Linked DNA regions of Ovis aries. The protein of the gene in region 1 purifies or fractionates together with the protein of each later gene. This does not show direct contact. Links are inferred from orthologs where the notes say so. Each region holds a gene or a part of one and is shown in the gene's direction. Other genes may lie near its edges.

The links. Proteins that work in one complex are often made in the same cells at the same time.
Region 2: the proteins of NAPA (region 1) and STX4 purify together in Homo sapiens (affinity purification with mass spectrometry; 4 studies listed by BioGRID and IntAct, with this or other methods). This does not show direct contact. The link is inferred for Ovis aries from reciprocal best matches to the Homo sapiens genes NAPA and STX4.
Region 3: the proteins of NAPA (region 1) and SEC22B purify together in Homo sapiens (affinity purification with mass spectrometry; 3 studies listed by BioGRID and IntAct, counting the BioPlex papers as one, with this or other methods). This does not show direct contact. The link is inferred for Ovis aries from reciprocal best matches to the Homo sapiens genes NAPA and SEC22B.

Annotation. Positions count from the first base shown.
Region 1 is NC_056067.1:54,230,267-54,233,826, reverse strand, and holds part of NAPA (alpha-soluble NSF attachment protein), read left to right. Parts: intron 1-1,690; coding exon 1,691-1,807; intron 1,808-3,560. UniProt on the Homo sapiens protein: Required for vesicular transport between the endoplasmic reticulum and the Golgi apparatus. Together with GNA12 promotes CDH5 localization to plasma membrane.
Region 2 is NC_056077.1:27,673,214-27,677,505, forward strand, and holds the start of STX4 (syntaxin-4), read left to right. Parts: upstream 1-1,454; 5' UTR 1,455-1,739; coding exon 1,740-1,769; intron 1,770-1,956; coding exon 1,957-2,058; intron 2,059-2,171; coding exon 2,172-2,271; intron 2,272-2,406; coding exon 2,407-2,481; intron 2,482-2,983; exon of another isoform or gene 2,984-3,208; coding exon 3,209-3,279; exon of another isoform or gene 3,280-4,292. UniProt on the Homo sapiens protein: Plasma membrane t-SNARE that mediates docking of transport vesicles. Necessary for the translocation of SLC2A4 from intracellular vesicles to the plasma membrane.
Region 3 is NC_056054.1:97,585,410-97,589,546, reverse strand, and holds the start of SEC22B (vesicle-trafficking protein SEC22b), read left to right. Parts: upstream 1-1,299; 5' UTR 1,300-1,431; coding exon 1,432-1,506; intron 1,507-4,137. UniProt on the Homo sapiens protein: SNARE involved in targeting and fusion of ER-derived transport vesicles with the Golgi complex as well as Golgi-derived retrograde transport vesicles with the ER.

The DNA of each region.
Region 1 (3,560 bases):
TGAAGGACAGGGAAGCTTTGCGTGCTGAAGTCCACGGGGTGGCAAAGAGTCGGACGCAACTGAGCGCCTGAAAAAATAATATGTATGTGTAATATGTATCACTGATCCACTTTGTTGTATACCTGAAACAAACATAACATCACAGCATCGTAAATCAATTATACTCCAATTTAAAAAGAAACTGCAAGATTGGATCAAGAAAATCAAGCAAAGACAGTGCTGAAACCCAGGGAGGAACTTCTGACTTCAGACTACAAAGGAAACCTGGGACGGGGCTACAGAGGCGGGTGTGGAGGCAGTGGGCAAAATGGGCTCTCCTCCTCTGAGAGTATTTTTGGTTTTCTGAAAATCAGAAGAGTTTCTCCTGAGCTTTCAGAGCATACACTGCGCCTGGAGCCAGATTCTGTGTGTATTTTTATGCTCACCCCAAAAACAAAATACCGTTAAAAGATTTCTTTTTCAATCACGTGGATGTTGCTTTACTTCTAAAATTTGTCACCTCTCTCCCTCCCCCAAATAGTCGAACAAAAATCTTAAGCCATTTCTTCCCCCTAATGATACTACCTTCCTGGAAATTCTGCACTCAAGTTTGGAGCACTTAAAAATAGGAAAGAAATCAGAGAGTGAAAACCTGGGTGGCTGAGTTTAGTTTCCTGCTCTAAAGGTAGAGTATAGGGCCGGGCCCTCTTGTCCTCCTCCAAGTCAGGAATTCCATGATTCGGGCTCAGCTGGAGGAAGAGGAAGGGCAGGGGCTTCAGGACGGAGCTGGACGTGGCCATTGGAGCTCCCAGTTAGCACAGGTCCCACCCCTGGAAGAGGAGGGCTCCCTCTGCCTCCCTCGAGTCACATTAGGAGATGGAGACGCGGGAACAGACCTGTGGAAGGTGACAGGGTGGCTGAGTACAGGGCAGCCCGGGCTTCAGGTGTGGTTGCCGCAGCTGCCCTCCACCCGTGGGCATTGTCCCCACGCACTCAAGCTCACAGGGGCTTCCCAGCCGGCTCGGGGGTTAAGAATCCACCTGCCAGTGCAGGAGACGCAGGACACATGGGTTCGATCTCTAGGTCGGGAAGATCCTCCTGGAGAAGGACGTGGCAACCCACTCCAGCATTCTTGCCTGGAGAATCCCATGGACAGAGAAACCCAGTGGGCGACCGTCCATGGGGTGGCAAAGAGTCAGACTGAGGAGCTGAGAACCCATGTACACACTCAAGCTCACGGCGTCCACATCTCCTTTCCCTTTCTAGATGTGAACCTCCTGGGGGCCGGGACTCTGTGAGTTCTCCCCAGGGAAGACTGGAATGTGGACAGAGGAGCTAGGGAGTTAGACCAGAAGGGCTGGGAGCCGTGATGGGAGGTGAAGTCAGACTTGGAAAGGGGAGGTGGTGGGGGTGTGGTGCAGCTGGGTCTTGATTGCCCCTCTCTTCCCCAGCACCCCCACCTGGCCCCAGCCCATGATGCAGTCTGGAATGCTGGTTCCAAGCTCCCGGGGCTGGGGGACAGCTTCCGGGTGGAGGTGGGGGGCACCGCTGGGATCAGGTGGCCTGAGGTCCAGGCCTGCGCCTCGCTTCCCCCAGGTCAGTCTCCTCTCTCGGGCTCACGAGAGCTCAGCCCCCTCCGCAGACGTCATCTGAGTGGCTTCCAGAGCCTGGAGCCCCGCTCTGAGGCAGGGCCCACCCTCTTCTGTTCCAGCTGCCGGAAGCGCCTTCTGCCAGGCGGCCCAGCTGCACCTGCAACTGCAGAGCAAGCACGACGCGGCCACCTGCTTCGTGGACGCCGGCAACGCGTTCAAGAAGGCCGACCCCCAAGGTGAGGGCCCCTGTGGACCCCGAGCACCAGCTGAGCCCCTCCAGAGAAGGCCTCAGGTTTCCGCTGCACCACGCCGGGCGGCACTCGCACTGTAACTCGCGCTGGCTGCCTCCCGCCTGGCGTCCGTCGGCCTCTCTCTGGCTCCCAGCCTCCGCCTCCCCCTCCCGCTCTCTGCCTGCAGCTGGTGGCGCCCCTCCCGGAGCCCGGGAGCATGTGGGAGTGGGAGTTAGATCTCAGGCCCACCGCTTGCCCAGGAGAGAGGAAAATCTGTTCTGCTGTCAGAATTAACACGCGGAGGGGGCGGGAGGGGGTTCTGAGACCAGCCAGGTAGGAGTCTCTGCCAAAAAAGGAGCGGAAATTATTCTGACCTGGCTTCCTTTACCCCCATGGTGGGGGGATCGGAGAGAACCAAGCGGAGATGCGGTTGCCAGAGAGTAAGTTCCTTCAGATGAGAGCGTGTTGGGGACCGAAGCCCAGTTTGGGGCTGACTCACTGTGAGGAAACCATGTTTGCCCCTGCTGGGCTCATTTAAAGTAGATGCACGGCCCAGCGGGTACCAGACTGTTGGATCTGGGGGGCTGGAATCTTAGTTTTTTGTTTTTAATTTTGGGGCCAGACATGGGTTGCTAACTTTTAATTTTAACAAGCAAAAGGCTTTTTTTTTTTTTTAAATGACCATCTATTGTCACTGTCCACTCACAAGAGAATGGGAACTAGGCGAATGTTATATTAAAAAAAAAAAATAGGGAGATGCATCATCTTGGAATAAAGGCTTGTCCTTCCCAAGAGAGGGCAGTTTGCACCAGTGCCCGGGGTTTCTCCAAGGATCTGTGAGCCCCAGTTCGCATGCCAGCTCGGGGGACATTGGTGGCGAATTCGTCATCGCCACCGCGACGTTTTGGTTCCCAGTCGAGGGTTTGGTGTCTGTGAGGGCCAAGTACCTGTTCTCTGTCCCCAGTCTTGCTGGGCCACTCCTCGGTAGCCGGGTGTCTCTCAGATGTTGGCCTCGGTGGTCACATGGTGCGCTCAGCCCGGCTTGAACCGAGGGGAAACCTCATGACCAGGTGTGTCCTGCTTTCTCTGCCCAAAGCTCAGCACACCTGGCTGGTTAGCATTGAGCTGCAGCAGGCCACGTGGTGATGTGGCGATGAGCCAGGGTTCAGGTCACACGGTGATGACCGTAGGTTGGTTTTCAGCTTGAATCACCCCAGAAAGTCTGTGCATCCCTCTCAGAGGGTCCCGCCCCTGCCCCAGTCTGCCGCCTTTCTGGGGAACTGGTCGACCTGGAAATGCTGCCCAGGCACCCGTGACAGACGTTGGGCCACCGCACCCGAGTGACTGGAAGGACCGGTTCCTGGGGTGGAAGCTGAGCCCGGGCTTTCAGCAAGTGCATAGGGCAGATTTGCTGTTTAAACAAGCCCCAGTGCTTCTGGTGGACAGGCCCCAGCAGGTACTAGCATGTGGCATCCTTTCCCAGCTTTTGAGCTGAGGCTTTTCAGCTAACAGCAGGCTCTGCAGCGTGTGTGGGGGGCCCTAGGGCCCAGGTTGGGGTGTGACTCGTGCCTGGCCTCCAGAAGCACGGAGGATGCCTGAGGTGTCTAGTAGGCAGGCGGCAGTGGTTGCATGTGACATTCCCGTCGTGGGGCACAGAGGGCGACTTGGTTTGTCTCAGCGTCAGCCAGCCTGCTTCTCTGCCCTGGCTGCTGAGGCCGGGAGGGGCCAGGTTTGGCACTAGGGGCGGCTCTCAGGGAAC
Region 2 (4,292 bases), on another chromosome or scaffold:
CTCTCAGCTATTCTGAGACTCACTGAGTGACTTTGGGGCATCCTTCTATAGAAGGTGGGTTCCAAAAGGGCAAGCCATTCTTGTCTGCCCTGTTATATCTCTGGCCCTAAAACAGTGTCTGGCCCATACAATAAATATCCACTGAATGAATAAATGCCTACAGGGTTAGGGTTAGGGAAGTGTCACCAAAAGCCTGAAGCATAAAAGAGAAGACCAGGGAATCATAAGCTTCATCTTCAGTTATATAAGAGGCTAAGACTCTATCAACAAATATTTACTGAGGGCCTAACATGTGCTGGGGTTCCTAGTTGGTTCAGTGGTAAAGAATCTGTCTGCCAGTGAAGAAGACACAAGAGATGCTGGTTCGATCCTTGGGTTGGGAAGATCCCCTGGAGGAGGAAATGGCAACCCGCTCTGGTATTCTTGCCTGGAAAATTGTATGGGCAGAGGAGCCTGGTGGGCTACAATTTGTGTGTGTTAGTCACTTAGTCGTGTCCGACTCTTTTGTGACCCCATGGACTGTAACCCTCCAGGCTCCTCTGTCCACAATCATGCCCTCACTTTAGTAACTCACAGGCCACGATAATATGTAATATTTTTGTGGGTTCCAGAGGGTAGACCCCCAGTGCAAGGTGGGGGTCTGGGGAGGGGGTTGTCTAAGTGACATGCTGCTCAATGTAACAGACTTTTTTCTAAGCCCGAGCTGCCCTGAAATGCCCTGCTCAAAGGTGGTGAGTGCAGCGGGACTGCAGTGTTCAAGCCGGGCGCCAGCCAGCCGCCCACCTGTCAGAAACTGTGCCAGGAGTATGCGGGAGAAGAGAGTTCCGCCTCGGGTGAGGTCACTTCCCACCCCCAGATGCTCTGCCTACAAAATCTCGCAAGTCTCTGACGCTGTATTTTATTCTTTTCTGAATTTCAAGGTCTCATGATGTTGACAGCTCCAAATTCTAAGTCCTCAGTCTGCCCACACTCGCGGACCCAAAAGAAAGGAAGCCGGATTCAGCCTGGGTCCTACCACCCACTGTCTCTGGGGGTAGTCAGCGCCCCCTCCCCGCCTCGCGGGGGTTCTGAAGAGAGGTAACTCGCGCGCGGGGTGCCGAGGACGTCGTGGGGAGATGGGTGTTCCAGAGATGGAGTTGACAGGGCAGAGACATGTGACAGTCGAAGCGTCACGTTCCGTGGTCTGAGAGGTTGGGACCAGGCCGGTCACATGACGCGCGCGGGGGGGTTTGCACTATGGGGTGATGCGAATTGAGAGGGCCTCACAGATCACGTACCAATGACGCATTCCCACCCCTTTTGGCAACTAGATTTCCGCTGGAAGATGCGATAGTTCCGGCAAAGGGGGCGGGTTCTCACGTCCTGGCAATTTCGCTTCCGTTCGGGGCGCTGAAGCTTCCGACCTCGGCCTTTCCCTGGGGTGGGGAAGGGACGCGATCCGGTGCGCATGCTCCAGTCTTTCCAGAGGGGGCGGGGCTGAGGCTACAGGAGAGGGCGGGGGGAAAGAAAAGGGAATTCCAACCTGTGGAATCTTGGGGGTCCCCGAGGTCGGCTCCTTCCCTTTGAAACTGTGAATGGTGCCAGGGACAGAGCCTCTAGCGACTCTTGGGGGAGGGTTTGGGGCCTGCAGGGTGAGGGCGGAGGGGAGTGTCAGAGTGTGAGTTGGGTACGGGAGTTCCAAACTTAGAATCTTGAGGCCCGCCGGGCTCCGGCGCCGGCGAGAGGGATCTCGGGCCGCCATGCGGGACAGGACCCACGAGCTGAGGCAGGTGAGAATTTGGCGCAGCAGGGTTGGGGACGGGTGGACGGGATGGGGTCTACTGGAATGCAGGACTCCTGGTCCTCGGGGCCGGGAGGGATGACTGTGGGCTAGGAAGGAAAGTCCCGGAAGCCCGTGAGTTCTACTGGGGGAGAGCAGTAGCAAGGAAGTGATGCCAGTGACCCCGGCCCTGGCAGGGGGATGACAGCTCGGACGATGAAGACAAGGAGCGAGTCGCGCTGGTGGTACACCCGGGTACTGCACGGCTGGGGAGCCCGGACGATGAGTTCTTCCAGAAGGTAAGAGGCTGGAGTCTCGGCCTGGATTCACGAGGGGCCTGGAGGGCCCGAGGAGCAGAGCAGCCTGGAGCAGCGCCCACATCTCCCTCAGCCCTCTCGGTCATCGTCCCCAGGTTCGGACAATTCGGCAGACTATCGTCAAGCTAGAGAATAAAGTCCGAGAGTTGGAGAAGCAGCAGGTCACCATCCTGGCCACGCCCCTTCCCGAGGAGAGTGAGTGAAACCCCGGGTGCAGAACGCATGCTCAGCTGGAGGCTTGTGGGGGTTGTAGTTCCACACAGGTGGTGGCCAGGGAGATTTGTTGAGGTAGAGGTTGCTATTTGGGCATCATGGCTTTCTCTTGTTTAGGCATGAAGCAGGACCTGCAGAACCTGCGTGACGAGATCAAACAGCTAGGGAGGGACATCCGCGCGCAGCTGAAGGGTGAGCTCCTAGGACTTTAGCCAGATACTTTCCTCTGATCCTGCCCAACTCCTGGTATTTCTGGGCAGTGTGTGGTCCAGAGAGGCCAGTGATATATATCCAGGTCACACAGCAGGCCAACGTCTAGAATCTCCATCTCCTGGCTTTCGGTCCAAAGTTCTTTCCACAGCATATGCCTGCCTCTCAAGTTCCCTTATTTATAATGAAACCATGTCCATTTGATCTTTGTCCAAGGCAGAGGTTAGCGTTGCTACCTCCACCTTCAGGTCGTTATCTGCATATAACTGTATAGTCTGCCGTCCACATCCCAGGTTCTGCAAGGGTGGATTCATGCAGTCATGGATTGTGTAGTACTGTAGTATGCATTTATTTTCTAAAAATTCAGGTATAAGTGGACCCACAGTTGTGCAAGGATCATCTGTACTCCTACAATTCTTGCTGCCCAGTGTGTATTCTTTGGGTGGGAAGATGTGGGTTTTGTTAGGAAGCTTCTCCAAACATGTGGGAATTCTCTGATGTATTTATTGCAAAGAAAAATATACTTTTGCCTGTCAGAGGCTCAAGAGTAGTCATTTATGATGAATTTTATTTCAAAAAAAAAGCTCTGTGGAGATATTGTATCTCTCTCTATTGTATGGCTGCATGGCTGGGTCCCAGTCCCCAAATGAATTTCAGAAGCCAGAGGTCAAACCCCCTCCTCTACCAATACTTCTGTGTCTTTCCACAGCCATAGAGCCCCAGAAGGAGGAAGCTGATGAGAATTATAACTCCGTCAACACAAGAATGAGAAAAACCCAGGTGGGTTCATTATTCCCAGAAGTAGGACATTTCAGCAAGTGTTCAATAGATCATTAGATGGCAGATGTAAGAAGGCAGGGCTCTTAGAGATCATTAAATCCAACCTGATGATTTTCCAAATGAGGAAACTGAGGCTCAGAGATAAAAAAGGATTTACCCCAAGGTCAAGAACCCGGGTTTCCTGACTTCCAATCTGTTATAACACCTTGCCTTCTTCTCCTCCATTCAGTGAGAAGTTGCTGAGACCCCAGACATGATCTGGGCTTGGTTGTAGGAGATATACTTTCTAGAAGCCAAGATGGGGAGTTAAGCTTGCATAGATGACAAAGACATTACTCAGGTAGGACTTGGTAGTTAATGGCTCTGCCCAGGGAAAAAAAGGGTGCAGTCAAGTGACTGGGTGGTTTCCTACCCATGTGATGAGGACATCCTCTGCCCCAAGGACAGAATTCAAGTCAGGAAGAGGAACTTCCCTGGTGTGTGTGTATGGGGAAGGTCACTGAATCATCATCTTAATAAGGAGATTTGAAATGGTCTGAGCAGTGTCCTCTGGGTGCCCAGAGAGGCATGGTTTGGAGTTCTTGGAGGTCAGAGTTGGAGTAGGTGGGCCCAGAAATCAGCAAAGACCCCAGATTGAAGATTAAACAATTTGGGGATTTTTTTTTTAATGGAAGAGAAGGAAAGAGTAGTTTTATTACTTTGCCAAACAAAGGGGGGAACACAGTAGGCTAGTGCCTCAAGAACTGCCCCCCCACAATTTGGGCATCTTGAAAGGGTGCAACTGAACCCAGGACAGCAGATGTGTCCTGGAGAAAGGAACTCCAAGGAATGAGCAGATTTTAGGCATCAGGAAAATGGACAAGCAGGGAAGGCATTTACAGGGGGTGGGGGGCTTGTGGTAGTCATTGTGTGAGAGGCTGAGTGCCCAGGTGGGCCTGCAAAATCTGGGAAATGCAAAATCCTGGCACACCTTTAGTCTAAGCAGGGAGGCTGGTGTTCAGCAAGCATTCCAC
Region 3 (4,137 bases), on another chromosome or scaffold:
CCATTACTGGAATTGTTCCAGCAGAGGCTGAATGACAATGACCATTTGACACCATGGTAGAAGACACATCCTTGTTGAGTGGGAGGAAGGGAAGTTAGGTCAGGTTACATCTTTGAGCTATTTTAAATGTAAGATATTATGATTTTGCCAACCTAGGCTCCCATATACCCAAGGATTGCCTTCCATTTCACTTTCTCACTGTGCTAAATAGCACCATCAGTTTGTCTTGTCTATATGCCTGTCCATTTTTGTGTGGAGTCAATCATTAGGTCTTCCTCCCAAAATCCTCTCAAGAAATAAGTTTTCTCCTAGTAGCTGTAGAGTTGTAGAAAAGGTAACAAAACGTGAGCTCTTTAACCTATGGTTAAATGTTAAGACGGAATCATATCAGGATTAGGAGGATAGGTTTTGGAGTTCAACAGCTCAAATCCTAGTCCCATTACTCCTAGCTATGTCATTGTGGAAAAATTACTCTCTGAAGTTTTTTCTTTAACTACAAAGTGGGGACCTACACTTTCTCAGTATATAATCACAAATATCCTGAGAGGCAGATAATATTCTCATATTAGAGATGGGGGCACCAAAGGAAAAAGCGATGGTAACATTTATTCAGGTGGAGTTGTCTACAGGTTTCTCCAATGGGGAGTAAATGAAGAGTTACTGGAAGTTTTGCAAGACTGTCCTGCTACCTATAATGATAGATCGCAGCTTTCAGCAGGGTGACTGATCTAGGTAATTTCTGAGATCCTGTAATATGATCACTTACTCACATATGCAATTAATATTTTTTACCAGAATCTGTTTAAGGACCTGGGCATACAGCATACACAAGCAAAAAAACAAAAACAAAAACAAAAAAAACAAACCCATACAATACACACACACACACACACACACAAAGAACTCTGCCTAAAAATATAAAAATACAGAAAATAATTTGTGCTGGATATACAACATATAAAACAAAAAAATAAATATGAAAATATATCATCTGATTGTCAGGTTTTTCATATACCCTTCATCTAAGTACCCAATAACTCCTGCCGTCCTTCCCAGCCCTCTCCCCCAACTTAAAGTATCAGAAACTAGAAAATTCTATTTCAGTTTGTATGCCACGCCCTCTCACGGGTCAAGGCTTATTCAAAGCTGGAAATCCAGAAAAGTGGCCTGGGCCTTGGGAGTTTCTGCAGGTGTAAGGAGAGATCCCGGAACTAGTGTTCCGGTAGTTGTGGTTCCCGATGGGAAGCCAATTCTGGGGACCGGTAGTGGAGAGCGCTGGAGCTTGTTTCCGGCCACCTCAGCGGGAAGCGGAGACGCGAGTAGCTGGGTCTTCGGCAGCTGAGGTAGAGGTTTAACTGTTGTCCCGGCGGAGCAAGTCGAGACACATCTACGGCCGTCTGGGCCAGTGCTGGGTCTCCGTAGCCTGTAAAGATGGTGTTGCTCACGATGATCGCCCGAGTGGCGGACGGGCTCCCGTTGGCCGCCTCGATGCAGGAGGACGAACAGGTGAGCTGGTAGATCCTTAGGACCCCAAGTTCGTGCCAGAGCGCTATGCTGTCCGCCCCGGATTCCTTGTTAGGACGCGGGAGACCCCTGAGTCTTCCCAGGCGTTTCTGACTTCTCTGAAGTGCGTTTTCTCTTTTGACAGGGGAGAAGACTACCTGGAGAAAAGTAACCTTTGCTGAAGGCGGGGGTAGATTTTTATGTTACCTATTTCTTATTAGAAAAACACTCCGGAGAAGGGATAGGTTTGGCTAATTGTGATCATCCAGTGTTCTGTAATTCTTTATAGACTCTGCTAAAATCCAGGATTTCTAATTTTTTTGCTGTTAATAAGGCTGACAGGTCCTGGGGAAAATCAGCTCCTAGTTCTTTAACTTCTTTCTGTAGCACCTGATCCTTGACCCAGCTTGCTGACATCTATTGAAAGCAGATGAGGTAATATTGCCACATATATGCACCTGTTTGAAGTTCAGTATAGTGCTTTCTTTCCCAGTTATGTCCAATTCCCACCTCCTTCAGTGAGCCTTACTAAATTCTTACTGTTGCAGTTATGACCCCTGTGTTATATTTCTATAATGCCTTGTACTTTTGCCTTTGTCTTTCAATAAATTAAATTTCCTAGCAGGCAGATGACAAGTCTTAGTCATTTTTGTATTTCCCATAGCTTTTACAATAGCAGTTTTAGTATAATAGGTGCTCAAAAATATGTTGCATTGATTAAAACAAACAAAAAAAAGTCCCAGAAAAAAGCCCTAGATAGCTTCACAGGAAGAGGCTTTGTGCCTTAAAATCACAAGGCAAATTTCTGGTGTGAGTCCAGTTCCTGGAGTAAGGTTGGGGAATTCTGGAAGAAAGGAGGCTGAGAATGAAATTTATATAATTTATTTAAATTTGTTTAAAGTGATCAACTTTCTTTTACTTTCTTATACAAGTAATTTAAAAAACTTTCAAGGCCTAGAAAAGTTGAGTGCTAGAAAAAAAATATTTTGTGCATTTTTTAACCTTCCATTCATATATTCATGAAAAAAACCAACTCTCATTAAGCACATCAGGTGTGCCAAGCATGGTGTTCATTCAGGGGCTTAGGGAACATAGTCCCTACTTTCTTGGAGCTTACAGTTTAGTGGAGAAGTCAGATCACTAACAAATAACTGTAATGTAGATAATTGCTGTAGAAGAGGAAGAAGTTTCTGTGATTGAACATGGAAAAGGTATCTAAATTGATTTTCGGACATCAGGAAAATCTTCCGCAAAAGAATGACATCCAAGCCAGTATTAGTGTCTCCTAATTGAGAAAGCTTCTATTTGGTTATATGCCCTTTTAGGTTTGATTTGCAAATACATTTACTTTAACTTTTATGAGAACAACGATACAGATTGTGAAGTTGTTGTGTTGCTTAGTAGGTTATGCTGAGTGAAATATTTTCTATTCACTACACAAAACAAAGTCTAAGCTGATAAAAAATCTGAAAAATATAGCATGCCCTGAACTTTGAATTGTGAAGTATTTTTCTTTTCTCCAGCATTAAACATTTTCTTGGACTATGCAGATGGAGTGAAATTATTAAAATGAATGCAAAACATGATTTGAAACAAAGGAGATGGTGTAAGGAAATTTTCCTTGAAGGATATGTAGTTTGACTAAGAAATAGTTTTTGCAAGAGAACCAAAATCTGGTCAGTTTTCCAACTATTGCTTTGAATTCCAGTGTGGGCAAAGAATATAAAGTAGATCTGAAAGTCTGAATATCAGTAGGCCCTTATTCTTTGCCTTGACACTTTATTGAAAAAATTAGTTGGTTATACTGTGTGTTTCTTAATTCCAAATTAGGTATCAGTCTACCAATATGGGTTCCTTTGTTTAATTGAAAAGGAAAGATGTTTTACACAAAAATATTTTTATGATTATAATTCTGTAGTGATTTCCTTTAGCAGTTTTGACTTTGAATGATAACGTCCTTTCTAAACTTTTAACATCTGCAAAAATATAAATCTTTGACTTATTTTTTACTATTAAAATAGAGCACTGTATATTTAGAGAGAGTGCCTATGCATGCATGCTGAGTAGCTTCAGTTGTGTCCAACTCTTTGTGACCCTATGGACTGTAGCCTTTCACTCTCCTCTGTCCATGGGATTCTCTAGGCAAGAATACTAGAGTGGATTGCTATGCCCTATTCCAGGGAAATCTTTCTGACCTAGGGATTGAACTTGTGTCTCTTATGTCTCCTGCATTGGTGGGTGGGTTCCTTAGCACTAAGCACCACCTGGGAAGCCCATAGAGTGCCTGCTATATACCAACCATTCCACTAAGTCTGTTTAATGCATGATTTCATTTAGTCTTCATACAAGCTATTGTTGTTTAGTTGCTAAGTCGTGTCTGATTCTTTGTGACCCCATGGACTGTAGCCTGCCAGGTTCCTCTGTCCATGGGATTTCCCCAGCAAGAGTACTGCAGTGGATTGCCATTTCCTCCTCCAGAGAGTCTCCCTGACCCAGGGATCGAATCCATGTCCCCTGCATTGGCAGGCAGATTCTATATTGCTGAGCCACCAGGGAAGCCCTTATATCAACTACTAGGATGGGTACTTTTATTATCTACATTTATAGATAAGGAAGCGCTGAGGCTAAGAGAAG